Linked DNA regions of Tamandua tetradactyla. The protein of the gene in region 1 interacts with the protein of each later gene in a biochemical or structural test. Links are inferred from orthologs where the notes say so. Each region holds a gene or a part of one and is shown in the gene's direction. Other genes may lie near its edges.

The links.
Region 2: the proteins of EP300 (region 1) and NR4A1 form a complex in vitro, tested with the Homo sapiens proteins (2 studies listed by BioGRID, with this or other methods). The link is inferred for Tamandua tetradactyla from reciprocal best matches to the Homo sapiens genes EP300 and NR4A1.
Region 3: the proteins of EP300 (region 1) and KLF4 form a complex in vitro, tested with the Homo sapiens proteins (2 studies listed by BioGRID). The link is inferred for Tamandua tetradactyla from reciprocal best matches to the Homo sapiens genes EP300 and KLF4.
Region 4: of the proteins of EP300 (region 1) and histone H2A type 2-B, one has a biochemical effect on the other in vitro, tested with the Homo sapiens proteins (2 studies listed by BioGRID). The link is inferred for Tamandua tetradactyla from reciprocal best matches to the Homo sapiens genes EP300 and H2AC21.

What each region holds. Positions count from the first base shown.
Region 1 is NC_135333.1:34,212,046-34,219,425, forward strand, and holds the start of EP300 (histone acetyltransferase p300), read left to right. Parts: upstream 1-4,356; 5' UTR 4,357-4,855; coding exon 4,856-4,988; intron 4,989-7,380. UniProt on the Homo sapiens protein: Functions as a histone acetyltransferase and regulates transcription via chromatin remodeling. Acetylates all four core histones in nucleosomes. Histone acetylation gives an epigenetic tag for transcriptional activation.
Region 2 is NC_135333.1:113,415,425-113,423,054, forward strand, and holds the start of NR4A1 (nuclear receptor subfamily 4immunitygroup A member 1), read left to right. Parts: upstream 1-4,612; 5' UTR 4,613-5,530; intron 5,531-7,148; exon of another isoform or gene 7,149-7,500; 5' UTR 7,501-7,602; intron 7,603-7,630. UniProt on the Homo sapiens protein: Orphan nuclear receptor. Binds the NGFI-B response element (NBRE) 5'-AAAGGTCA-3'. Binds 9-cis-retinoic acid outside of its ligand-binding (NR LBD) domain.
Region 3 is NC_135328.1:26,489,061-26,496,543, reverse strand, and holds the start of KLF4 (Krueppel-like factor 4), read left to right. Parts: upstream 1-4,477; 5' UTR 4,478-4,909; coding exon 4,910-4,914; intron 4,915-5,046; coding exon 5,047-5,167; intron 5,168-5,800; coding exon 5,801-7,055; intron 7,056-7,483. UniProt on the Homo sapiens protein: Transcription factor; can act both as activator and as repressor. Binds the 5'-CACCC-3' core sequence. Binds to the promoter region of its own gene and can activate its own transcription.
Region 4 is NC_135330.1:5,943,782-5,949,026, forward strand, and holds histone H2A type 2-B, read left to right. Parts: upstream 1-4,082; 5' UTR 4,083-4,113; coding exon 4,114-4,506; 3' UTR 4,507-4,667; downstream 4,668-5,245. Other genes in the region: H2AC20 (histone H2A type 2-C), read right to left, coding at 4,668-5,057. UniProt on the Homo sapiens protein: Core component of nucleosome. Nucleosomes wrap and compact DNA into chromatin, limiting DNA accessibility to the cellular machineries which require DNA as a template.

The sequences.
Region 1 (7,380 bases):
CTAGTATTTCCATCTACCCAATTTATTTTAGCCCCCATTATTTATTTTTTATCCATATTTTTTTTACTCATCTGTCCATACCCTGGATAAAAAGGAGCATCAGCCACAAGGTTTCTACAAGCTCACAGTCACATTGTAAAAGTTCTGTTTTTAAACAATAGTCTTCCAGAATCAAGGCTACTCCAAAGTTCTTTTAACCATTTCCTACAGGTGAACTCTTGGTTTGTTTTCTTTTTGTGTGTGTGTCTGTGTGCCTTGAGGAGGAAAGCTATCCCAGTGCTGTAGGGAACATTCTCATGTACCTCTCTGTGCACTGTTCGGATGTATCCTAGAGATTCTGGGGTTTTTAAAGGCTATCAATTTTGGTATGAACTTAGAAGTTGGTATCATGTTTTATTCATACCATGTATGAAAGCACCAATTTTATTTTGCCAATATTGGCTATTAAAATTTTTTCTTCAAGGACACATTTTAGTAAACGTAAGATATAAATAAAAATGTAACTATGGTTCTGCAAACACCAACAACATTTTGGTATAGATCAAAATAAATCAGTATTTCCTTGTGGTGTATGTGTAGCCACTTCAACAATCCTGTTTGCATTCACGTTTGCAGAAGTGACCTGAGACCACGAGGGCAGCTTCTTTCCACTGCAATTCTTGTGCCCCCTATCCAGGTCTCCTCTCTGGTAATCAGGGCACCGTGGAAGCTGGATGAGTCAACAGAAGGTTGAACGGTGAACAGAGAATTTCTTAAAGGGAGTTGGATGGACCCAGGAGAAATTTCAATATCCTGATTGGTGAGAGGCCAAGTATGACAGCCCAATAAGCATCTGCCAGGTTCCATGCACAAACATCTCACATGTATTCACCTCATTTTAATTCTCCTAGTAACTCTTTGGGTTAGGTACGATCCTTTCCATTTTAGATTGAATGACTAGTAACACCTAACGTATTGCGTGCTTACTTTGTGCCAGACCTTGTGATCAGCATTATTTCTAAATGACTGTGTTTACTCTTCACAACAATAAAGTAGGTCTAATCATGAAACTCATTTTACAGATGATGAGCCTGCCCAGGTCCCATTCGACTTCTGTGCCCCTGCTCTTACCTGCCAGCTGCTGCTGTCTCGTGTGTCCCCCAGCTACTGGATTCATTTGAACTTTTTGGGTTAGTTACAGGGAAGACAATTCCTTCCTGAAGCCATTCTTCTTCTTCTTTTTTTTTTCTTGGCTTTTTAAAAAGGGGAATTTAATAAGTTGCTAGTTTACAGTTCTAAGGCTATGAAAATGTCCCAATTAAACCAAGTCTATAAATATGTCCAAATTAAGGCAACAAGAGACTACCTTCACTCAAGAAAGGCCAACGAAGTTCACGGTTTCTCTCTCAACTGGAAAGGCATGTGGCAAACATGGTGATGTCTGTAAAATTTCTCTCCAGGCTTTTTGTTTCATGAAGCTCCCTCGGGGGCGTTTTCCTTCTTCATCTCCAAAGATCTCTGGCTGTGTAGGCTCTAAACTTCCCTGCTTCTTCCACTAACCCAAGGTTAATCCTGAAGCCATTCTTAATCCACTCATGGGACTCCACGATTGTTTGGATTTTAATTAGATTAGATTACAAATAATCCAAGCTGATGGTTTAATTCTGCTTTGTTGAAACCATCAAGTCTACCCTTGATTGCATTTGTGTGATCCTTATTTCCTCAACCACTTCAGCTTGGTCCTGGGGCAAGGGTCAGAGAAGCAAATCCCAGGAAGAGGCATCCTGCACCTGAAGACCCCGTTTACAACAGAACATTCCCTTCTGGGCAGGTCCATCGCCCCTGACCCCTTCTTTTTGCAGAATTTTCTCTCTGGATATTCCTCAGATCTCCTTCAATGGGTTTATGGTATCGAATCCCATGACTGGCCAGGAGGGCCGAGTGTGTTTGAATGCTGCTTATACATACATCAAGCTGGATCCTCTGCAAACTAGGCAAATTGCTTTCCTAAGGTTAGAAATTCTTCAAAAAAAAAAAAGGCACGGAAACCTTCCATAAGGAAATCACAGCCCAGGTTTCTTAAGTGTTCACATTTCTTTCCTGTCTCCTCTCCGCTATTAATGTGGGCATAAACCATGTAGAATAACCCAATCATTCTGGAAGGCCAATCTCGACCTTAGCCTTACACCTTGAATCCTTCCTGTAACAACTTTTAAGACAAGGAGGCTCCTGTCCTTTTCAATTGGCCTGCTTTCCCGCTGCAGTTTGGGTGATGTGTGCTTGAAGATCACACCACATAGTTCACCCTTGTTGGCAACAGGAGCTGCTTCCTTTGAGTTTTCTGTCCTAGGCTATTTATTCTCCCCATCATTCATTGAAAAAAAAGACAAAAACAAAACATAAAGTAAAGCTAACAACAAACACACCCCAACTGAGGAGCATGATGTGCGATGTGGAAATGCTTTTTAGGCGACTGGTACTGGTTTGGGGGTGTTTGGGAGGCCTCTTACCACCTGGCTACCTCCAGTATCAAGGGCAAATACAGGGGAATCCTGCAACCGGTAGGCAGGTGAAACAGTTCTCGCAGCTTTCCTTCGAATATAAGCATTCAGTCACACACACTTGCACTTTTCTTTACACCTATGAAGCCATTTTCCCCCATCGTTACATTTTTACTTTCTTTCGTCCTTACATTATCTTCAGCACATCGTGACGTTTTTGCTCCTTTTCTATAATTATATTTTCTTTAAGGCACTGCCTAAGTCGGATTTGGTCTTTTATTAAGCCAGCCTAGGAGGTGGGTTTTAATAAATTCCCTAAAATGCTTTCAGGTCCCACGCGCGTTTAGGAAAATAAGTCAAGCCTCCCTTAGCCAGAGTGCCACCTCGTAAGGGGCGTGTGGACACGTGGTGGGCAAGAAATGTATTTGGATCTAGTCCTAAAATAACCTTCCACTGCTGTGATTTTTGTTTTCTGACTATCGAAATAATACATCCTGTCAAAAAAATTGGGACTACCGAACAAATGGAAACAACTCGGTACTAGTGTGATTTAGGGAAGTGAACCACTCCGCTGCCTTAGAGAAGGGTCAGGACGCACTGGGTCTCTGGCCCCGAATGCCCGGCGGCAGATGTGGGTTCAGCAGGGTTTCGGAGGGCTGGCCGCTAAGGGCCGGGGATGCAGGGTCATCCCCACGAGCGCTCCCACTCGGGAACCTGCGCGGAGACTTGGCGCCTTCCCCGGCGCAGCTCGGAATTCCGTCAGCCTCGCTTCCCACCGGTTCCCTACGCACAGACCCAACCCAGGCAACTTCCCCCGTAAGTGTCCACCGACTGAAAACAGATCCCAAGCCCACACCCTCCCTCCCCCTTAAAATCCTCCCCTCCCTTAAAATCCTCCCCTTTAAAGGGAGCCACCGGGTGACGCCTGGGGAGTTTGCGGAAGCGCCCAGCGCGTTGGGGCCCTGGGCGGGTCCCGTGATTGGAACCCGCCCCGCCCTCGGCCCCTGTTCCCCCATTGTGTGAGCGGCTCGGGCCCATGCCCCGCCCCCTCGCCACCTCCCTCCCTGGGCCCAGCCCCTCCCCTTTTTTTCACCCCCCCCCTTGGCTCATTTCCGGCCGCCGCTGCTACCGCTAGCCTGTAAGGAGGATTCGGCAGAGGGAAGAAACAACAGCCGCCATCTTGTTTGTGTGTTAGGCTGGGGGGGAGAGAGGGCGAGAGGGAGCGGGCTAGAGTGGGCAAGCGGGACGCCGGGCTGAGTGCGAGTTGCGGGAGAAAGAGAGTGCGGAGGGGAGCCGGGCTGGAGAGAGGCGCCTGGGGCCGAGACAGAGGCAGGGGGCCTGGGGCGCACGGGCTGAGGCGACCCCCAGCTCTCTCCCGTCCGCACACACCCCCACCGAGCCCGGGAGCCTGGCCGGCGTCGACGCCTAGGGGGTACCATTACATAACCCCGCGCCCCGCGGCGCCTTTACCCGCCGTCGAGGGCGGCCCCGAGCGGAGCCCCGGGGGGCGGGAGCTCCCGGCCCCTGGCCGCCGGGGGTGGGAGCCGTAGCGGCGGCCGTATTTATTTATCTTCCGCGGGAGGGGAGGGCGAAGAGAAGAGCGCGGCGCGAGGAGAGGCCGCCTGCGCCGCCCGCCGGAGCGGGGCCTCGTCGGTGGGCTCGGCGTCGGCGCGGGCGGGCGGCGCTGCTCGGCCCGGCCCCCTCGGCCTCGGAGCCGGCGAGCTCGGTGCCCCGCGTTCTCGCCGCGCCTCTGCTGCCCCGGGCCGCGGGCGCTCGCCGCGCGATGTGAGGCGGCGGCGCCAGCCTGACTTTTCGGCTCGGGCGGGCTCCGTGCGGCCATTAGGGGCCGGTGCGGCGGCGGCGGCGCGGAGTGCGGCGGCAGGAGGAGGGCTCGGAGGGTGGGGGCGCAGGCCCGGGAGGGGGCACCGGGAGGAGGTGAGAGTCTCTCGTCGCCTCCTCCTCTCCCCCCTTTTCGCCCCCGCCTCCTTGTGGCGATGAGAAGGAGGAGGACAGCGCAGAGGAGGAAGAGGCTGATGGCGGCGGCGGCGGAGCTCCGAGAGACCTCGGCAGGGCAGGGGCTGGCCGTGGCGGGCCGAGGACTGCGCCTCTAGAGCCGCGAGTTCTCGGGAATTTACCGCGGGGACGCGCTCGGCGGATTTGTGTTCCTGTGCCCTCATCCGGGCCTGGGCTCTGGCTCGGCCCCTCGCTTTTGCCCCTACCTTTTCTATCGAGTCCGCATCCCTCTTCAGCTACCGCGACCCGGCGAAGAGAAAAAGGAACTTCTCCCACCCCCTTTCGGGTGCCGGCGGAGCCCCCGAAGCCCACCCCAGGGAGTGGGGAGGGGGCCCCGGGCCGAAGAAGAGATTTCCCGAGGAATGTCGTTTTCCTCGCCTGTATCTCCGAAAGAATTAAAAATGGCCGAGAATGTGGTGGAACCGGGGCCGCCTTCAGCCAAGCGGCCTAAACTCTCATCTCCGGCCCTCTCGGCTTCGGCCAGCGATGGCACAGGTTAGTCTCGGGGAGTCCCGGCCTCCCACATTCCCCTTAGTCTTTTCTGCTGTTTGCATCTTTATTATGCCAGCTTTTCTTTTTTTCTCTTTTTCTCTTCTTTCTGGTTGCCTATGTCTTAACTCAAATTCCTTTTAAAGGTGTTTGAATGAGCTGGTCGAAGACGTCCAGCAGCCCAACCATTTTCTTTGCCTCCTAGTACATTCGTTGCAACACTGACATATCGATGTGTGTCCTGGAATTAGAGCTCAGAAGTGTAGCTTTTATTGTTGCTCCCATGCAGTTTTATTTTGGAAATGCTAGTGCATTTGTGTGTAAGAGCTTTTTATGGATTTTAGTTTTATCTTTTTGTTGGTGGTGGTGAACGAGGAATTGCGAATCCTTTCTCCTCGATTGCACTCATTCCGTCTCCTCTACTTTCCACTCTTTCTTTTCAAGATTTCCTGTTGAGGGTTAGAGCATTAACATTTTTGTATTTTTCGTTTTGTTTGTGTGAATCCAGGATATCAGGTTTGACGTGAGGTTTGTCAAAATTATTTTCTTGCCGTTCTTTTATTATTTTTATTACTTGCTTTAAGAATCAATATGGAGCGCATTGCATTGTACATCTTCCATTTCTTTGCTGCGAGACCAAAATGTCTGAAACTCTGGGTTTTCAGGATGGGAGAGAGGCAGAAGCATTTTCTTTGCACTTTGTATTTACTTTCTCGTTGGGGGGGAAAGAAGAAATAAATAAGCGATTTTGTGGAGTTATGTACCTGGAAATTAAGGATAGAAGTTGAAAGAGTCCCAGTCTCTAGTAAACTGAACTGATGTGCAAAAGTTAAAAATTTTCGTTTGGTTTCTTGGTTGTGCTTTTGTTCTGTTTTGTTTTTCGTTTTTGTGCTTTAAATGTTTGGATTTTCAGTTAAAAAGCTCTACAAATTTCTTTACTTGACTCAGTTGTGGACTGGCCCTTTTGTCAGGAGAAATGTAGGGAGACTTCTTACATCTTTCCTTTCTTTCCCTTCTTACAGTTAGTTTAATGGTGCTATCCTGATGGCCACCGACCTCCTAAGTAACTGTTGTAGTTTGAGATGCAGGATAATGAAGAGGAAGAATGGCTGGCCATCTGACAGTCTTCAAGATGTTCCCCCTTACTACCGAGCATCTCTTTTACTCACTGAAAACAGGCTCAACGTCATCCCCCATCTGCCAGTGAGAGTGTATAATGGAGTTAAATGTACCCTTTGAGTTTGTAGAGAACTTCTAGAACATGTTTCTCTTAGGGGGCTTCATTTCAAAGGGTTAAAATGTGAGGATGTGGGAAATCTTTTGAATTTCTTTGCACTTGTAAGAAAGATGTATCGTCTTGCAGTTTAAGATAATCTGCAAAAATTAAGAATAATTATGCAGTTCCTCCGTGTAACAAGCCTAAGGCTTGTTAACATTGCCTGTGCCTGAACTTTGGTCTGTCTTCATTCCTTGAAGTTTCTGTGGTCTTCAGATATATTTTTAGTTGTCTTTTTTTGTTTACTAAAGTGTCATTCAGAAGAATTTTTAGTTACCTTTAGACATACTTTTGCCAGTAGGGTTTTGCGCTGTCTCTCCGAGTGACTTTGTTTTTTAGTTTTTTCTAATGTGGTGGTAGATTTTACTTTTGAGTTAGCTTGTGACTTGGAATATTGTAGAGGAAACTTTTTAATGTCCTTTACTTTGATCAGTCCTTGTTTGAACAACTGAGTCTTGGAGTAATGCAAGACCTGAAAGGTAGGATATGTTCTGTTGTTCCAGATACTTTTTTTCAGATGCACTAGTGCATCCTTTATATCTAAACTGTGTAGTTGGTGATGTTGAACTCATCTTGGTAATCTCTCTCCTGTCTAATATACAAAAACTGTTTTACTAGAAATAATTAACTCCCCACCCACCCATTGTGATAATTATACTTCAGGAATTATTTTGAGTACAATTTTTAATCCTATCCAGTCTGAGTTTTTTGTTCAGTGAGAGGTGGGTATTAAAATATTATTCCTCTGTGAACTTAATTCAAGTTGGGCACCATTACATTTTGATATATTTATTTTTACATCAAGCAATGTGTAATAAAAATTTATAGACAAGTTTTAATAAACCTTTTTCACCTTTTGAGTTAAATTTCAAACTTTTACATTTTGACTTTTAAGTTGTCACTTGGATTTTTCATAAACTGAAAGAAAGTTGTTCCCCAGAAACTTTTTTGTGATTAAGGCTTACACTTTTCCTAGTGTAAATGTATCTATCTAGTGTGTTGAGTTAGCCAATTTTATAGGAAAGAAAACTGGAATCCATTTGGGCTGATATGCTAGAGGGTTATAAAACAAATTAGTGTTCTCGGTTTCTAAATTTCCAGGCTCTTCGTGTGGTACTGATG
Region 2 (7,630 bases), about 79 Mb from region 1:
AGCCATTCCTGAGCAGGCCCCCGATGGGAGGAAAGGCTTTGCACAGGATGAGACAGCTCTCCCATTTCCAAAAAGTGCTCCAGTCAGGTGGGAGAGAGAAACCTTCCAAGCACCTCCACCCTGAGAAAGGTTCTTATTGGAAGTGACTGTGCCTGGAGACTATGGTCAGTGGAGGTGGGCTTCCCAGCCCTTTTGTCAGGGTACTCTGTGCATTTCCTGCACTGAACACTCCTGTGCTTTGTGGGAAGTCAGATGCCAAGGGGACAGCAAGGAGGGAGTAGCTAACCCTGAGTACTTACCATGTAAAAAGCATCTATCTCTGCAGTTGTTCAATCCTCCCAGTAACCAGAAAAGGTGGATAATATTATCATCCCCATTTCATGGGTAAGGAGACTGAGTGAGGCTCAGAGAAGTTAAGGGACTTGCTCTACTTACAGACAGTAGGAGAAGCCAGATCAGTGACTTCACCTCCTAGGCCTTGCCCTTACTAGCGTTCCCACATCTGGGACTACTTCTGTTAAGGGGAAATTTCGCCTTCCCAGGAAGTCCCCTTTTTCTTTAGCTACCTTCTTGCCTGGGAGCTGGGTGCCCTGCTAGCTGGGTTCTTTGCTCTTGGGGTGACAGGCAGGCTAAGAGACATTGGTGGGTGTGCCCAGGGCTCAGAGGTTGAGGTTCTATCCTCTCAAGCCAGTCAATTTGCTGTGTGACTTTGGGCCGCCGCGGAGCTTCTCTGGGACTCATTTTTTCCACTTCTTCCTCAGGGGACGCCCCAGGTAAGTTTATTTGGGTAACTTTATTTATACCCCGGCTCGGCTCGGGGTTCAGCTGCCTCGGGAGATGTTAGCAAGGCCTCAGAACCCTCACTTGAAAAACAGCCTCCCCTACCCCGCCCCCCGGCCGCAGCGAGCCGGGTTATGTAACAGCGTGTGCAATGTGTGTGTGTTGGGGTGGGGGGTGCCGCGGGGCGGGGCGCTCGCGGCTATTCCGGGCGCCTCTATTTTTAGCCCCATTGATGAGGCTGCGTCGGCCGCCGCCGCCGGGATTCCGGAGACGTCAATGGGCGCGCGTCACGGTCCCCGCCCGCCCGCCCGCCGGGGGGAAGGCGCGCCGAGGCTGGGACTGCGGCGCGGGCGGCCGCCGGCTGCGGGGGCGGGGAGCGCGGCGGCGGCCGGAACTGCTGGGCGGGGGGCTTCCCGGGGGCGGGGGGCGCCGAGAGGCTGCGGCGCGGTTGTAGGAGCGCCAAGCGGCGGCAGCGGAACTGGTGGGGGCCCCAGCGTGGTGCGCGCGACCCCCGGCCTCCCGGGATGGGCGCCCCTGCAGTGCAGAGCAGCTCCCGGCAAGCTGGTGCGCGACCCCGGAAAGCGGGGGTGGAGAGGCGAGCGGAGCTCGCCCTGCAAGGTGAGGGGGACAGCTTGGAAAGGGATAAAGTGGTAGCAGAGGGAGCATCGGGAGGTCTGTGCGGATGCGCCGGGGTGGGCTTGGGGCCACGCTGGGAGTCTTGCTTGGAAGCCGGGAACCGGGGCTGCACTGGGGGGCTGGATTCCCAGCGGAACTTGCTGGCTCCGAGTCAGTTCTCAAGTGCGACGGCCAAGGCTTTCTCTCCCTAGCCCGCCAAGGGTGGGGTTTGGCTCACGAGGGGCGCTGGAGATGGCCAGGCGGGAGAAATTCCTTCCATTTCCCCGTCGGCCGTGGAGAACGGGTTCCAGGAGGTCGGGAGCTCGGCTGCCAGGAGGCCGAGACGGGAGGGACCGGAATTGTCCCGGACAGCTCCTTCGTGGGACTGAGTCAGGACACCCAGGCTGAAGAGGGTCTTATGGAGTCAGGAGCGAATTTGGGATTCGGACTCGGGTCCGGCATCTCCCAGGGCAGCGCTTTTTTCTGCAGCAACCTCCCTCCCGACCTATACTTGGGGGTTCGAGCGGCGCTTCTAGGCAAAGGTTGCAGTGTGTTGAGGCAAAGGCACCGGTCCTTGACTTCAAATCCCCGTTACGCCTCCGTTTTTAATAGGTGGCTTGGTGGGCAGAGAGAAATGTTGCAGAAGAGGCACGTCCCGTTTACAGTGGAGTGTTAATCTGGGTTTGGGGGCTGGTATTATGGGCATGTTGGGAAAATGCAGACTGGGCAGAGGTGGGTAGATTCAGATCAGTTATAAGCTAAGGATGCTGATGGATTAGGAGACTGAAATCAACCTGAACAGGGTGGCCACAGGCTTGGTCCTAGACCCACTACAAGTGAATATTTAGATCAGTGACTTGGGGTAAGAGGTCTTAGGAAGCCAGCCAACTTTTGTATGACCCAGAGCTGAGAGGAATGACGAGTGTACAGTAGGATAAAATCAAGATTCTGAATTACCGCATGAAAATGGGCCAGAATTAACAAGATGAATGTGACTGATGCTAAATATTTGGGCCTGGGCAGGAGTTCAGAAAATCAGCTCAGGAGTGCAGGCCTGATGGGAGGCCTGGCTCAACTGTTCAGCACCGCAGGGCCCGAGTTCCTACCAGTTCCGTGGGTGGGCACTATCAAACTGAAGCCTCTACTGGGTACACTGGTGGTGGTGGTGGCCGGGCAGTACCTGGCCCTGGCATCCTCTGTCGGGCTCCCTGGGTTCTAATCCCAGCTTTGCCAGTTCCTAGCTATGTGACGTCAGGCAAGTTGCTTAACATTTCTGTGCCTTAGTTTCCTCATCGATAAAATGTGTATAATGATAATCCATTCCTCAACATTGTGAGACTGAAATGAAAAAAATGCATGTAAAGTGCTTAGCATTGTTTCTAGCACATGGTATTTGACAATATCAGCTGCTGTTATAATTGTTCATAATAATAGTATTGTCATTTCTAGGTGGGGACATTGACCAATGCAGAGATCGTGTCCAGAAGTCCACCAGGGCTGCAGAAGGTCTACCCTGTTGTGAGTGGGAGTTGGAGTTTAGATAAGAAAAGACTCAAATAAGTTCTTGATAGGAAGAAAATGAAGGAGGTTCTGGCTGGGCCCATGCAGGGGGCAAAACTGGGATTTGGGGCTGGGGGCTTTGGAATTGGGGCTGTGACCCAGCAGAGGGAAGAACCCTCCGATCTGCCCCAAAGTGGAAAGGACAGCTTTGTGAGCTGTGCACAGGAGGTTTCTTAGTGGGAATGACTTCCCCACCACTTTGCAGATGGCTGGCCAACTGTCCTCCCAGCCTGGCTCCAGTACAGGTGTTTGTGGCTCCTGCCCCCATTTACACTGCTATTGACTGAGCACCTATCCATCCTGAGCTCTCCTTTAGAGACCAAAGACTCCGTGGTGATTGAGACAGACAGGTTCTTATTTACCTTCTAGTTCAGGAGACAGAGGATAAATAAGTGAACAAATAAACATTAGTCCTATGGGAAAAATAAAAATGATTAATAGGGTAGGAGGTAAGGCTTCTTAATATAGTGAAATGGGAATAGGAACCTGATGGAGCCAGTCATGCAGACATTGGAACAGTGGTTTTCTTGGCAGAGGGAAGAGCTTGTGCAAAGGTCCTGAGGTAGGAAAAAAAGCCCATGTGACTAGAGCACAGTGAGTGGAGAGGAGATAAGGTGATGAGGGGACTCTCATCCCATTTTGGGGGCATCGCTTTCTCCTCCTCCAGTTTTCAGTCTACCCTCTGTACAGTATTGATTATAACTGATCTTGGTTTATTCTATGCCTGTCCCCCCTAGGGTAGAGGTAATTTGATCTTCTTAGATTTCCTACTGTTCATGGCACCCTGCCTGGTTCACAGTAGGTTCTCAATAAATGCTTGTGGAATGACTGTTGGGAAGGAAATTTTGATCTGTGGCAGGAGATGGTATCAGGTGGTCGTGCTAAGAGGTTTTGAATCACTTTCTAGGCACTGTTCTCAGATACACATGATGGAGACCTGAGCTCTCAGGTTGGGTCTGGCTGTCCCCGACCTGCTCCCTTCTCCTCCAGCTGCAGGCAGGCAGGGAGGAAAGGGAAGGTTTGGGGAACCCCTAGGCCTGATTGGGATGGGGAAGAATGATATTGTCATTCTGGGAAGGAAGGGCAGCCCATGGGCTGGGGCAGGTCTGAAATGTGATTTCGATTTCAGTTTGGATTGGAAGCCCTCTAGATGTTCTAGACTGCCCTCTGCTCCCTCTTCTCTGGTGGCCTTTACTCCCTGCTCCCCACTGCATCCACAGGGACATGGAGGGTGAGGGGAAAAGTATGGGCACTGCGGGCCAGAGGAGTCCCCCTTAGCCTGTGGACCCTGGAGCAGAGGTAGGGAGGGGGTGGAAGCCCATTGCTTGCCCTCTGCCCTCTGGGTCCCTCAGCCTTGCTCCCTCTTCTTCCCATCGTGGAAACACCTACTTCCCTTGTCACAAACTTCATCTTGGCTTGAAAGGCAACTTGATAACAGTGAGGGCCAATCCTGGGCCTACCCTGCTCTCACTCTGGGCCCCATCTGGAAGAGGAGAGGGCTAAATGAGGTTGGGAAGAGGGGAAGGGAGGTAGGGCGCCTGTGGGGTTGGCTGGTGAGCAGAAGGTGGGGGTGGGACACACAGTTGGCATCAAGCGTGATGGAGAGGCCAGGTGTCCAGGAGTGGCTGGCAGTGGGAGCCTGGGTCTGGTGGTGTAGCTTTTGTGTGTCCTTATTTAATTTATACTAATCACGAAGCTAATATTTATATAGCACATATGTGTACTCAGTACTGTTCTCACTCTTTTACACATATTAACTCACTTTAGGACTGACGACAGTTCTCTGATTGTCATTTTGACACACGAGGAACCTAGACACAGCGTGGTTATATAACTTGTCCAAGGTTACAGGAGATGGAGCTGGGATTTCAACCCAGGCAGTCAGGGATCCAGCATCTGTGCTCTTAACCACTCTGCTCTCAGTTAGGCCTTCCCATTGGGGACTGGAGTCCATCACAGAGGTTAGAAGGCTGGGCTGCCAGGAGACAGGGGCATGGAGCTGTGCCCTTTGGAGGCCCTGAGGCTTTGGGGGCCAAGCTAAAGCCCCTGAAGGAGAGAGGGATGTGTCCTGTTCTGTCGTCACACTGTCACCATTTTCTCTGCCTACAGAAGGCCCTTTTGTGCATGCCACGGGGCTGGGAGCTAGATTGAGGCACCCTCACTCAGGAGTGGGGTAAGAGGCTGAGGGGCTGCGCACTGGCAAGGATCTATGGCTCTGAGGTACCCCAGGTGCCATCAGCAGCAGCTGGTCACACCTCATATCCCGGGAGCGCTTTTCCCAGAGTGTGGGCCCCCAGCCCCTGACAACTAGCCCAGGCGGGGACCTCGGGCTGGCTTGTCTGCCCCTGTGGCTGAGTCCTGCTGCTGTACCCGCTCCTGTGCTTCCTGGCTGGGCTGTCTCCAGGGAATGCGCCTGCTGGATGGGTGGTTTTTCCTTTCTGACATTGACTCTTCCGTAGGCCTCCACCATGCACAGGGGCTAGCCCCGGCTCCTCCCTGGTGTCCTGAATCTGCCTGCCAGGCCCCGAAGGGATGGTTTGAGTGTTGGCCAAGGCCTGTTGGTCCACTGAGGGTGGTAAGTGCTCTACTGTTGTCATTTGTACACCCTTGGGCCCCCTGTGCAGTTGGGTTTGGGGGGCAGGGGTGGGTGTGGAGCTGCCTGAGGTGGATGTGGTTTGGGGGGTGGAGGGGGAAGCCCTGCAGAGGTGGCAGGCACGGTGCTAAACAGCATCAGGAGATCTGATTTCTTCTGTGGTGGGAGTGCATGGGGGCGAGAAAAGGGGAAGCCTGATTTTCTCAGCAGGATAGGCTGGGAGGACTCTGGGGCCAGGTGCCACAGACGGGTGGTAGGGAGGAGCCTGACAGGTGCCCCCAGCATAGCACCTGCCTGGTTCCAAGAAGCTGATGGGATGGGGTTGAGGAACTTGGGTCTGGGCTGGGAGTGTAGTAGGGCAAAGCTGGCAGAGGTGGGGGTGGGGTGGGGGCATCTGGCCTGTTTCCATGTTGTAGACCTCATTCCAGAGGGAGTGCATGAAGGGAAGGCTGAGATTCCCCTCCCCAGAAAGATTGCCGACTGTCCCCCCTTCCCATCATGGCAGGACTATAGGGCCTGCAGAGTCCGTGGTATGAGGAAGTGGCCTCATGGATGGGGGGAATCTTGGTGGGATCATAGCTGCTAACAAAGGGCAGGCACAAACCCTCCACTATTCATCCGACATCCCTGAGAGGGAAAATCCCAGACTTGTGGCTATGGCTAGAGGAATCCTTGGCTCTCTTGCTCACCCCCTCCTCTTACAGATGAAGAAACTGAATTACAGAGGGGAGAAGGGACTTTTCAAGGTCCCACAGGGCATATGTATAGAGCGCAGCCTAGAATCCAGGTGTCCTGGGTCTCAGGGCCAGCCTGAAAGCCCGGTGTAATGGTGGAGGACACATCTTTATTGCTGAGGGTGCTTCCAGAGAAGGAGCAAGCTAGTCTGTCGGTGAGGGTGAGGGTGAGGGTGAGACAGTCCACCTGCTGTTTCCTTGGGGGATCTGAGATGCTGAGATGGGGCTAAAGGAACTGAGTCTTGACGGCCACCTGAGGGAGCTGGGAATTCAACCTGGCACAGGGACAGGGACTCTGGACAGGGTCCTTGTGGTCCCTTTCCTCCTTCCCCTGTACTGAAGAGCATCACTGAGCAACAGAGCCCTCAGGACTGAGAGCCCTCCAGATGAAGCAGGAGCTGGCTCAATATCTCCTCCCCCAACCCCTCCAAACACTGTTGCTTCGTGTGAACTTGGTGTTCAATGTGCAGAGGGAGGAAGACAGGGTGTCCGGTCTGAGCCTAGGTGGAAGCGGGGAGGCAGGGTCTCCTGTTCCAGGGGCTGGGCTGGGTGTGCACCTGGCCTCTGGCTGGCAGCAGGTTCTGCACCAGCCACCTCAGGCCAGGGCGGAGAGAGGAATTACGGTCAGTGGGAGAGGCAGGTGTCTCTGGTCAGCCAGAGATGTGGCCTTGGGGAGCACGTGAGGGAGGATGACAGCAGTGGCCAGGCACTTTCCCTCCGCTGGCCCCCACCTCTGCCCCCAGGCCTGACCTGGATTCCCAAGCTCCTGGCTTTCCCTCCGGCTACACAGAAGCACTGGGTGGGCAGAACTTCTTGTGTTTACCCTGTTGTCTGGGTGATGGTGGTGATTGGATGGAACTCCCGTGCTGGATACTCTGCCAAGGCCACCCCAAGGGGCTGCTCGCAGGGGCCCTGGGAGTGTTTGAGCCGCTGGTCTTGTGACGTGGGCACCTGTCTGCCAGGCCTGGGCATGGGCCCAGGGTCACGCTCACACCGGGGCTCCCGTCAGCTGACTATTTTGAGTTCTTGCTGACCTGGGCCAAAGTTAGGCCCTAGCCAAGAGGGCCCCGCGTTGGCTCCCCCCCATCCCCAGAGGCCGGCTCTGGTTTCTGCTATATAAACAGAAGAGGACATACTGGCTTGGAGAGAGCTCCACGTCCAGACACTTCTCAGCTGGTACAGGGCAGCTGGGGAGGGCAGTCACGTCTCTCTCCACAGGGCTCCCCGAGGCCACCAGGAAGGGCCCCCAACCGAAACCAGGATTCTCCTTTCCTGTGGTTGCCCAGGATCTCTGAAGGTCAAATTGTGAGGAGGAAGCTGGTGAGTCTTGGAATGGGGAAACTGAGGC
Region 3 (7,483 bases), on another chromosome or scaffold:
AGACGAGAAAGAGAGTTTGGTACATCAGGCTGAGGTGTTAGATCTTGCTCCCCTGGGCAAAGGGGAGCCACTGAAAGATTGGCAGGAAGTTGAGTGGTGGTTGGTGAGCAAAATGGACCAGAGCAGGGATTTCAGGGATGAGACATGGAGGAGGGAGATGTGGAGGACAGTTTGGAGGCTGCAGCAACAGTTAAAAACTATGAATGAGGAGGGCTTGAATCAAAGCATCACACCTGGGTAATAGAAAAGATATTTAAATACCAAAACGGCCAAACTCTGTGGGTGCCAGGATGCCCCTGGTCAGAAAGTGAGAGGAGAGGAGGAAAACCAAGGCTTTTAGCATGGGAAGGTGGGAAAGGGTGATGAAATAACGTAGGAAAAATTGCAATAAGTCTGGGTGGAGGGAGGATAGGGAAGGTGTTCAGTTTGGGACCTGTCGAGAACTGGGCAAGGTCAGGGATTGGAAGAGAAGACGCCTTGAAAAGAGAATTATTTGAGTCTTCAATTGGGAGGTGAAAGGAAAGACCAGGTTTGTGCTAATAGACTTTAAAAAGAAAAAGTATGTCATTTATTCATTCAACAAACACTTTCGAGCGTTTTCAGATTGCAAGGCAGGTACTCTTCTAGGACCTGGGGATATAGTAGTGAACACAGCAACAGCCCCGTCCTTGTGATACAGGGCCCTGGAGACCACTGCTGATATTAACAGCTCTCATGTTTTCAGCATCAAGTCCTGCATTTAACGCTTTACGTGGATGATCCCATTTAACCCTCATCACTCTAAGACGTATAGGTACTATTACTATCCCCATTTTACAGACGACCAAACAGGCAAAGTGAGGTCAGCTAGGTGCACAGCTAGAAAGAAGCACAGCCAAAGTAAAAACCCAGGCTGTCTCACTCAACCACAAGACTGAGGATAGAACGAAACTAGAGTTGTATGTTACCACTGATATGAAATATCTAGAATAAACTACTTTAGAGAGACAGAAAGTAGATTAGAGATGACTGGGGACTGGTGCAGGGGGTAGAGGGGAATGGGGAGTGATTGCTTAATGGATCCAGAGTCTGTTTGGAGTGATGAGAAAGCTTTGGGATTGGATAGTGGTGATGGCAACACATTATTGTGAACATAATTACTACCATTGAACTGTGTGCTTGACAATGGTTAAAATAGGAAATTTTATGTTATATGTTACCACAATTAAAAAAAAAAATAGAGACCGTAGTTTACAAGGAGATTAGAGTGGAAGCTGAGAAAAGCTTTGTCACCTAAGAAAGTCACAAGCCTCTCTCAGAGTTATTAGTAGGAGTTTCATTTCAAAGTAATTCGGCTACTTAAAATCATGTCCTGCTTTCACCTTCTTGAAAAGCAGTTTTGGCACAGTTAGGCACACACATCCCAGGCCAGGGCGCAGGCAGGTCCTGGGGGGTGGGGGTGGGGGTGGAGGAGGTGGGGGGGCGGGGAGTGGATTCCTAGTTCTTCTCGTTGAGATGTCCACTTGAAATATTTCTTCAGCTTCTTCAATCATCACTCCCCTCCATGGCTCCACTTGAACTCCTCAGCACTGATGGTTTACATCACATCTTCTGCCAACTCATGCAGTTTGTGCTGAAAAAAGAAAAATCTATTTTATAACTCCAAGGACATTAATAATTAACTTCCATACCACAAAACTTGTAATATCAGTTTGCTAAAATAAAGTCACCAGTAAGTATTTAATTCTTCTTTAAAGGGTGTCTTCTATTATTATTTTAGAGTGCAATTTAGTCATCAAAGGTTTACTCAGCCTCATGCTTATAAATTATATAGGGCAGGGATTTAACTCTTCTGGACCTACCTGTTCTGAAGGCCCCAGAGGAGGGTCATAGCTCTCATGTCACCCTAGGCACCTGCCTTGAAAGGAGATGATTTGTGAGCTTCAAGTTCCCTAGCTCTTTCAGAAATCTGGGGCAAATACAGAGATTTCCCTTTATGATGCAATCAGAGGAATAAGCAGATAGTTGTCTGCATGAAGAGGCACTGGCTTTTATCCTCCAGAAAGCTGTTGGGAAACTACAAGTTCATCTTTTTTGAGTTTCAGAATCTTGCCTTGATTATACAATAAGAAGAGTGGCTTTGCAATCCATCTGTGTAATATTTTCATGTGGTGCTTGGTACTGGTTTTTTGAGGGGGAAGGGATACTGCCTTAGATAAATAAGGGCAAAACAGAAAAAAATCTCGGTGTGCTGGCTACCTAAGGTGGAAATCCCAGTTTACCTCGGGATGGAGCGTCCTGACTGCCAGTCAAGGGTGCGTTCAATTCCATCAGGTTTAGGGAACTTGGCCTTGATGGAAAAGTGGAAAACTATGCCACACAACCCTCCAGTCCTAGCATCCCAAGTTTTCTTGCCGTCACCCTTCAGGGTGACGGCAGAAGGGGGCAACAGGTGTCTTTTTTTTTTTGTACCCTCTTTTTTAAACTGCTGAAATTTCCGAAGAGTTAAAGTAATAGCTTTGACCCTCTCGGGTGGAATTGAGGCCTTGGGGCCCCGGGATCCCCGCCAAAGCATGTCCCCCTCCCCCCAGCTGCGGGTCTTCTCAGCCTTGGGCCAAAGTCATCTTCGTGGGCCCCCAACTTCCGGGACCTAGAGGGGACCCTGGCCGAGTCACTTCTTTGGGGGCGAGATGCATTCCAAGAATGCGTCTGTAGGCGACGAGGAGCGAAAACGCAGCGGCAGGAAGTATTCGGAGGAATCCGCAAAGGTACCAGAAGCGCAGGACTCAAAACAGGTGACAACGACAAAAAGTTCGAGGCAGCAAGGGCTCAAGGAGCGCAGGGGCGCGCGCCCACTGCCGGATGCTGGGGCTCCGAGTCTTGCCACAAGCCCCCTCCTTCCTTTTCTTTCCCTGGCTGACACTGGGCGGGGAGCGGCCGCTTTTACGCGCGAGGGGGCTCGGTGGAGAGGGCGGAGCCCCGCTCCGGGCGCCTGAATGTAAACCAAACACCTCGCTAGCCTACGTTTAGCAAGCGATACCCAACACCACACTCACGTAAAAAAAAAAAAAAAAAAAAAGTACTGTTTGCAGAGAAGACGAGGACGAAAACATTTCCCGGCTGGAAAATTACTGATCACAAACTGAGAAAGGGGTGGTGTGTGTATGTGTGTGTGTGTGTAGGGGGTGGAAGGCGACGTTGTAAGTAAGACTGGAATAACGGTCGCCCTTTCCTTTTCTCCTCCCCGTGTGCAGGGACAAGTTGCCGCGAGCTCGGCGAGCCCTTCTCGGGAACCCGGGTCCCACCACGTCGCGCCATTTCCTACCACCGACCACTTTCCAGCCAAACTTGGGCGGGCTCGACCTGTCCAGAGTCTCAGGTGAAGGGAGAGCGTGGCCATTTGACCTTTACCTCGCCATTTCACCTCTTTATGACTCAGTTTTCTCATCCATAAAGCGGAAAGGAGAATGCTGAGCGTGTAGAGTGCTTTGAGATCCTTGGCTGAAAGCTGCCTCCTCGGCCTACAGGCTCCTCTTTGCCCCTACCAAGTAAATCTCGACCCCTTCCACTCCTTCCTCGCTCCTTCAAATCTCAAAATGTCAAAACGACATCTCCGTTTCCCGTTGCGATGTCTTTCGGTCCTTTCCAGGCGCGGAACGCCCCACTGGCCGTTTCGGGTTCCCGGTCTCAGCCACGCAGCTCTGGGCACCCTCCCCCTCCCTTTCAGGGCTCGCGGCTGAAGGCCCGGTGAGGACCCGTGCGAGGCAGACCCAGTGCCCATTCCGGCGCTGCGCTGGGAGAACCGGGCCCCGGCTGGCGGCCGGGAGGAGGGGCCGGATGAGTCACGCGGATAATCGCGTCCTTCTCCAGAGCGTAGACGGTGCAGTGGACGAAGGGTACCGGGCTCGCTACCGAACCCCGACGACCCAGCCTTTCCTGCCAGGGGCTTTGAACCCAGGGAGTCAGCCGCGGGGGCGACGACGGCCCTGATCGCGCGGCCCCGGGACATGTGGGACTGTAACCAGCGTCCCGCGCCCGGGCCGCCGCCGCCGCCGCCACCGCCGGCGTCAGCGCGGCTCCTGCCCGCCAGCTGCCGGGCTGGCGTCACTGCCCGGCCCGGCCCGGCCCCGCCCGCGCCCCTCCCTCCCCCCGCCCCCACGTGCGCCCGAGTTTGTTTATTTAGCTGCCATGACAACGCCGGAGGGGCCGCGGGAGGGAGGGGAGAAGAAAGGGAGGGGCGGGGCCTGGCGGCGGGCCGGGGCGCGCAGCCGGCAGGAGGCGGGGGGGAGGGCGGGAGCGGAGAAGTTATAAGTAAGGAGCGCGCTGCGGCCGCCGGCACTTCCCCGGCCCAAGAGAGCGAGCTCGGCTGCGGGCGCGCGGGGAGCAGAGGAGGAGGCGGGCGGCGGCACCGGGAGCCGCCGAGTGCCCCTCCCCGCCCCCCCTCCGGCCCCCCACCCACTCACCCGCCCAAGGCCCGCGCCCATGGCCGCGCGCGCCCCGCACAGCTACCCGGACTTCGCCGCCCAGCCCGCAGCTACGCGCCACCGCGTCCAATCTCACCTGGTGGCACCGCCCGCCCGCCGCCGCCGCCCCGGCCACAGCCCCTGCGCCCACGGTGACAGCCGCAGCGACAGCGGCGGAGGACGTCACTGAGTCGAGGAGAGCGCAGCCGGGCCACGGGACCTACTTTACTCGCCTTACCGATTGTCTATTTTTTATAAGAGTTTACAACTTTTCTAAGAACTTTTGTATTCAAAGGAAGTCTTAAAAAAAGACATCTCAAATTTATTTAATCCAAAGAAGAAGGATTGCGGGCAACTGGGGATTTGGGGTTTCGGCTTCCTAAATTTTTTTTTTCCCTTTCGTTGACTTTGGGGTTCGGGTGCCCCGCTGCTTCGAGCTCTCGAGGATCTTCTGGGCTCCTACATTAATGAGGTAGGTGCGGGGAGGCTCAGGGCGCTGGGGGTGGGGTGGGGCGAGGGCTAATAGCCTAGGGGACGCGCCGCGACGGCGGCCGAGACAAACCCCCTGCTCTTGCCCTCCGGGCGCACCCCTCCCGGCCCGCAGGCAGCCACCTGGCGAGTCTGACATGGCTGTCAGCGACGCGCTGCTCCCGTCCTTCTCCACGTTCGCGTCCGGCCCGGCGGGAAGGGAGAAGACACTGCGTCCGGCAGGTGCCCCGAATAACGTGAGTGTCTCCCGGGACCTCCGGGAGCGTCGTGGGAGCTTGTGTGTGAGAATGGTGGGGAGGCAGGCAGAGCCCTGGGGTCACCAAGGAGAGGGCTAGGGGTGGCCGCTGCGCGGGCTCCGCAGCCGTCCGGGACGGCCTATGCGCTCTTGGCTCAGTTTTGACTGCGGGTGGTCCGGGCGCTGGGCGGCCGCCGGCGACGCACACCGGGTCGGCACACGTTCCCCTTCGCGCGCGCGGGGCGAGGCGGGAGGGCGCTGAGTCTCCAGACACCGGCTAGTCCCGAGTGAGCTTGGCGCGTAGGCGTCCCAGCGGCGAGGCGGCGCACTGGGAGAGCCTGGTGTCCAATTCCGGGGGTGGCGGGAGCGTCCCCGGCTTCGCGCACAGGAGAGGACCGGAACTTAGTTAGCCCGCCCCGCCCCCCCACAATCACTCTCAAGGACACAAGCAAATACCCCCGACACCGATGCACCCACCTCTTCTCGGATCCGGGTGTGGGAGATTGGAGTTTTGGCGCCCGAAATCCCTGAGCGCTGCCCTGGTGTCTGGACCGTGTAGGCGCGGCGGGCCAGTTTGTCGAGTGGCGCCTAGGGATCGCCACTGACTGGGCTCTCTCCCTCCGTATCTCCGCAGCGCTGGCGCGAGGAGCTCTCGCACATGAAGCGACTTCCCCCGGTGCTACCCGGCCGCCCCTACGACCTGGCGGCTGCGACAGTGGCCGCCGAACTGGAAAGCGGCGGAACCGGCGCGGCTTGTGGCGGCAGCAACCCGGCGCTCCTATCCCGGAGAGAGACGGAGGAGTTCAACGATCTTCTGGACCTGGACTTTATCCTCTCCAACTCGCTGTCCCATCAGGAGTCGGTGGCCGCCACCGTGTCCTCGTCGGCGTCAGCCTCAGCCTCATCCTCGTCCTCCCCGTCGAGCAGCGGCCCGGCCAGCGCACCTTCCACCTGCAGCTTCAGCTACCCTCTACGGGCCGGGGGGGATCCTGGCGTGGCGCCGGGCGGCTCGGGGGGCGGTCTTCTCTATGGCCGAGAGTCGGCGCCCGCTCCCACAGCACCCTTCAACCTGGCGGACATCAACGACGTGAGCCCCTCGGGTGGCTTCGTGGCGGAGCTCCTGCGGCCCGAATTGGATCCAGTGTACATTCCGCCACAACAGCAGCCGGCAGGGGGCGGCCTACTCGGCAAGTTCGTGTTGAAGGCGTCCCTGAACCCCCCTGGCAGCGAGTACGGCAGCCCGGTCATCAGCGTCGGCAAAGGCAGCCCCGACGGCAGCCACCCGGTGGTGGTGGCGCCCTACAGCGGCGGCCCGCCGCGCATGTGCCCCAAGATCAAGCAGGAGGCCGTCTCCTCGTGCACCGTCGGCCGGCCCCTGGAGGCCCACTTGGGCACTGGACCCCCGCTGAGCAACGGCCACCGGCCGCCCCCGCACGAATTCCCTTTGGGGCGGCAGCTCCCCAGCAGGACTACCCCGACCCTGGGTGCTGAGGAACTGCTAAGTAGCAGGGACTGTCACCCCGCCCTGCCTCTCCCCCCGGGCTTCCATCCTCACCCCGGGCCCAACTACCCACCTTTCCTGCCCGAGCAGTTGCAGCCACAGGTCCCACCGCTCCATTACCAAGGTCAGTGCCTGGGATTCATGGTTCGGGCTGGGGAGCGCTGCGTGCACCGGCCCTTCTGGGCGCTTGGGGTGTTGCTGACCCCACCCTCTTCACCCCTAGAGCTCATGCCACCGGGTTCCTGTATGCCGGAGGAGCCCAAGCCAAAGAGGGGGAGAAGGTCGTGGCCCCGGAAAAGGACCGCCACTCACACTTGTGATTATGCGGGCTGCGGGAAAACCTACACAAAGAGCTCTCATCTCAAGGCACACCTGCGTACCCATACAGGTAGGAGGGCAGATGCTCAGGATGGGAGAGGGTCGCTGCCAAGCCCCGTAGGCCAAGTGGACAAATCCCCTGGTCTCCCTTGGGATACGGGCAGTCTTATCTCCTCCATCCCCTGAGACCACAGGGAAGGGAGAGCAAGCTGGCGCCCACTTGTTTGCCCAGAAGCCTTTTTGCTTGTTGGATGGTATCAGGGCTTGAATGTGCAGTTCTGTTGGGCCTTTAAAAGGCAGGGAGATTCCAGCCGGACGTGAGTCTCTTGGCTTGAGCAAAGTGTTGGCCCTTATAATCAAGAAATTATACTTTGCAGTGCACAGGCACGTTGGCTTTTAGAAATTTTCCAGACTATCCTGGCTGGCTGTTTCCTTCCCAGACCCTCACCCTCTCCCCTTTGTAGTATTACTACTGATTTTGGTCTTGATAAAAGTTTT
Region 4 (5,245 bases), on another chromosome or scaffold:
TCAAAGAATTTTGGGGATGCCCCAACTTTGCTGGTGCCAGGTACTCTCCTAAATGTTTTACATTTGTGAGTCCTTTTAATTCTTACAACAATCCTACGAGGTAGCTAGCATTATTACTCTCACTTTACCAATGAAGAAGTAGAGCCCCTTAGAGGGTAGGTAACTTGCCCATGATTATGTAGCTGGTAAAGAAACCCAAAGAGTCAGGCTTCAGAGTTGGACTCTCAGCCGTAAAGCCAGTCTGCACTCTAATCCAGCACTGGGCCTGCTCAAATTCCAAGCACTGAACCGGGCTCTTTTCATTTATCCTCATTCTAACAATAACTTTATTGTGTTAGGATATACTATTTTATTTAATTGGTGAGTTTCTATGTTCCATCATTGACTACTACAGTCTCCTGTTTATAGTAAGCACTTGAAGAGTGATTTTTTAAAAATTTATTAATTAAAAAAATAAGAAACAAAATAAAACAACATACATAATCAGTAATTCACAATATCATCACTTAGTTGCATATTCATCATTTCTTAGAACATTTGCATTAATTCAGAAAAAGAAATAAAAAGACAATAGAAAAAGAAATAAAAGGAACACAGGAAAGAAAAAAAAAAGATTATACCTACCATACCCCTTACCCCTTGCTTTCATTGATCACTAGCATTTCAAACTAAATTTATTTTAGCATTTGTTCCCCCTATTATTTACTTTTATTCCATATGTTCTACTCCTTTGTTGACAAGGTAGATAAAAGGAGCATCAGACACAAGGTTTTCACAATCACACAGTCACATTGTGACAGCTGTATCATTATTCAATCATCTTCAAGAAACATGGCTACTGGAACACAGCTCTACATTTTCAGGCAGTTCCCTCCAGCCTCTCCATTACATCTTGAACAGCAAGATGATATCTACTTGATGCATAAGAATAACCTCCAGGATAACCTCTCAACTCTGTTTGGAATCTCTCAGCCATTGACACTTTGTCTCATTTCCCTCTTCCCCCTTTCGGTTGAGAAGGTTTTCTCAATCCCTTGATGCTAAGTCTCAGCTCATTCTAGGGTTTTTCTCAATCCCTTGATGCTGAGTCTCAGCTCATTCCAGGATCTCTGTCCCACGTTGCCAGGAAGGTCCACACCCCTGGGAGTCATGTCCCACGTAGGCAGGGGGAGGCTGGTGAGACTGCTCGTTTTGTTGTCTGGAGAGAGGGGCCACATTTGAGCAACAAAAGAGGCTCTCTTGGGGGTGACTCTTAGGCCTAAATTTTAAGTAAACTTGACCTATCCTTTGCGGGGTTAAGTTTCATATGAACCAACCCCAAGACTGGGGGCTCTGCCTATAGCTTTGGTTGTCCACACTGCTTGTGAGAATATCAAGAATTCAACTTGGGGAAGTTGAATTTCTCCCAGTTCTCACCACTCCCTGAAGGGGGCTTTGCAGATACTTTTCCACTCACTGATCGAATCACTCTGGGATTCATCGGGGCATCACTCTGGACAAACCAGCAAAATCTCATGTCCTACCTGAGATTCCAAGTACTTGCAGCGTTCAATCAAACTATCTACATAAGTTATATTAGGAAATGCTCTAATCAAAATATAAATTTTGTAACAAACATTCTTTGCTTTAGTCTCACACAGAAGGTGACATTTAAAAATAATAATTACCATCTATTTTCAGCACCCTGCAATAATGACATTCCTTTGTTCTTCCTCATGCAAAAACATTTTTAAAATTTGTACATTGTACATTTCACTATTATTATACACTCTAGGCATTCCTAGATTATACCATCTCAATTGAAGAGTGATTTTTTTTTCCCCTGCAGGGGTCATCCCCTTTATTTATTTATTCATTTATTTATATATTTTTTACATGGGCAGGCACCAGGAATTGAACCTGGGCCCTCTGGCATGGCAGGCAAGCATTCTTGCCTGCTGAGCCACCGTGGCCCTGAAGAGTGATTTTTGACTAAAGAAAGATATTTTTGAAAAGAAGACACTATTTCTCTGAAAGTATGGTTTCATTCATTCATGCCATAAACGTTTAATCATCCTAGTAAGAGCCAGGTAGAAGGGTCTGGGTTTGGTTCTCAGCCTTGCAGGTCTGAAAAGTTGATTATATCAGCATATCTAGAGGTGGGTGACTTATTGGGGATGGATATTTTTGAATAACCCAGAATGCAAGCTGATTATCTTCCAATGACAGATAAATCTTTTCATAGGTGGCTTGCCCATTCTGAATATCATATTTTCATCTTGAAATAAAATAACCAGAAAATTTTCAATTGAGTAGAGAATCTGAGCTAAGAGAGTTGGACAGTCTTCAGAAATATTTTATCTAGGCTTTGAGAAAAGGCTTTCCCAGCCAAGGACCTGCTTTAGCAGCCCAAACCTTTGCACCTACCAAACATGGACTCTTCATATTGGAGAGACTGACAAATTCTTACTGTAACTGTTCTTTCTTAAGATTCTAAGGACATACACCTTTAGACTAATACATTCATCTTTTGAAAGGATATAATACAACCTATTGGGTTAAAACGACTTTCAGTTCAAGTCTACTGTTGAGGAAGCACCCGCATATTTGTTTGGCCAAACCTACACCAGCATTTTTACGGTAATTGACCTCTACAGATAGCTAATACTAACTGATTTAACTCCCAGAGCTCAACAGATTTCCTCCATTTCCTGGAGGCACCTCACCTCTCTCCGTGCTGGTCTCAACCATCTGTACACCCATACACCCAGTGCTGACAGATGGCACGCACTCAGTAAGTGCCAGCTGAATAAGGGTGAGGATGAAAGAGAGAACGTCAGAAAAGGACTCAGGAACTAGAGCTTAGGTCTGTAATTTTCTCCATAGCATTCTGCCTCCTGCAAAGGGTGCAAATGGAGTGGCAGAGGTAGAACTCCTAGAGACAGGAAGCGGGGAAGGAAGAAACTGAGGAGCCTCCAGGGAACACTGCTACGGAAGGTGGAAGACCGTGGTAAAACGTCAGAGCCTGCAGACAACACCTGTCAGGGGCTGCTGCTGAAGTCCGGGTGAGAGACGGTGGGAAGGCGTGGGAGGAAAGAAAGCTCGAGATGTGAAGGAAGTAACTGAATCGATATGCTGTTGAGATGACGGAAGAGCAGCTAAGATTCTGACTTAGGCACCTGGAAGGCAGCAGGCCCAGTTCAGGGAAAGAGGGCGAAGCCAGGAGGGCGTGGTGGGTTCGGACAAATTGTCATCTGGGTGGGCCACGCTCGAGGTCCTTGTGGGGTCACACGGGAAGCAGGTCGGTATAGGGTCTTAGCTTCTGAAACAAATTTGGATGTTAGCTGAGAGCACAGAAGAGGGAAAGGTTTCTTAGGGAACGTGAAGAAAACGAGGAGGGGGCTCCGGCGCGAGCCCGGCTGGACAGCGGCGTTTGGCGACCGGCTGGGGACGAGAAGCAGGACAAGGGAAATCGAAGACCGAGGAGGAAAAACGGAAGGGCGACATTTTGAAAGCTGAGGGAGCAAGTTTCCAGACGGTGTCGATGCCTCCTGGAGGTCAAGAAGAAGACAGAAATATTCCAGCCGCCTGAGGCCGGCCCGGGCGGGGGAAGCCACGCGTCAGCGGCTGAACCCGAGGGAAAGGAGGCCGCCGGGCCGAGCCCGAGGGCGGGGCGGGAGGCGGCGCAGGGGCGGAGGGCTGCACGGCGCCGGGCCTTACAGCGCACGGTGGGGGGGCGCCCCTCTGCTCGCTGGCCGCTGCATCCCTTCTGGATCCTTCTTAAGACTTCCCTGCTTAAACCGGAGAAAAACTACGAATTGTCACTCACGACAAAAGGACAGCACCTTGTTTAAAAGCCTCCTTATTTAAAAATCCTAGCATGCAAATAAGGAGCCTTCATGTGGCTTCCAGCCATTGGTAGGCGCTGGCTAGGCCCGTCCCTTGCGCGCGGTGCGGGGCGCCCACGGCTGTCGCCCGCTCGCCATTGGCGGCGGACGCGGCTGCGCGCTCAGCCAATCAATCAGGGCCCCCGCCCCGCTCCGCTCCCGACCTGCGCTTATAAATCACAGCAAATGGGTTCCCTGCTCCATCCCTGCCCTTGAAATAGAAACAGCCACTGTGCTTTTAGCTGCAATGTCGGGCCGCGGGAAGCAGGGGGGCAAGGCCCGCGCCAAGGCCAAGTCGCGCTCGTCCCGCGCCGGCCTGCAGTTCCCGGTGGGCCGAGTGCACCGCCTGCTTCGCAAAGGCAACTACGCGGAGCGGGTGGGGGCGGGCGCGCCGGTGTACATGGCGGCGGTGCTCGAGTACCTGACGGCCGAGATCCTGGAGCTGGCGGGCAACGCGGCCCGCGACAACAAGAAGACGCGCATCATCCCGCGCCACCTGCAGCTCGCCGTGAGGAATGATGAGGAGCTCAACAAGCTGCTCGGCGGCGTCACTATCGCGCAGGGCGGCGTCCTGCCCAACATCCAGGCCGTCTTGTTGCCTAAGAAAACGGAGAGTCACAAGCCGGGCAAGAGTAAGTAACCACGAGATGTGACGCCGCCACCGCCCCCCACCCAAAGGCTCTTTTCAGAGCCAACTAAACAGCAAAAGAAGGGCTGATGACAGGTAGCGCTAGCTCTTTCCTCTGAAAAGTTGGGTGGCTCTAAAAAGAGCCTTTGGTGGTCTTTGGCGTTATCGACAGATTATTTGCTTTTAGCCTTGTGACTTTCGGTTTTCTTTGGTAAGAGAACAGCCTGGATGTTGGGCAGGACGCCGCCCTGCGCGATGGTAACTTTGCCCAACAGTTTGTTGAGCTCCTCGTCGTTGCGGATAGCCAGCTGCAGGTGGCGAGGAATGATGCGCGTCTTCTTGTTGTCGCGGGCCGCGTTGCCCGCCAGCTCCAGGATCTCGGCCGTCAGGTATTCGAGCACCGCCGCCATGTACACCGGCGCGCCCGCCCCCACCCGCTCCGCGTAGTTGCCTTTGCGAAGCAGGCGGTGCACTCGGCCCACCGGGAACTGCAGGCCGGCGCGGGACGAGCGCGACTTGGCCTTGGCGCGGGCCTTGCCTCCCTGCTTCCCGCGGCCCGACATGGCAGATCAAAACTAAACACACAAACACACCAAGAGACAGAAAATTGGTGGTAGCAACGCGGCAAAAAGAAAGCCTTTATAAGCCTTCCTAGGGGTGGGGTCAGGAGCGAGACTCTCATTGGTCCTAAGTTGGCTCCAGAAACAGCCAATAAGGTCCAGAGTAGGCGCTGTTACGTAGGCATTGATGA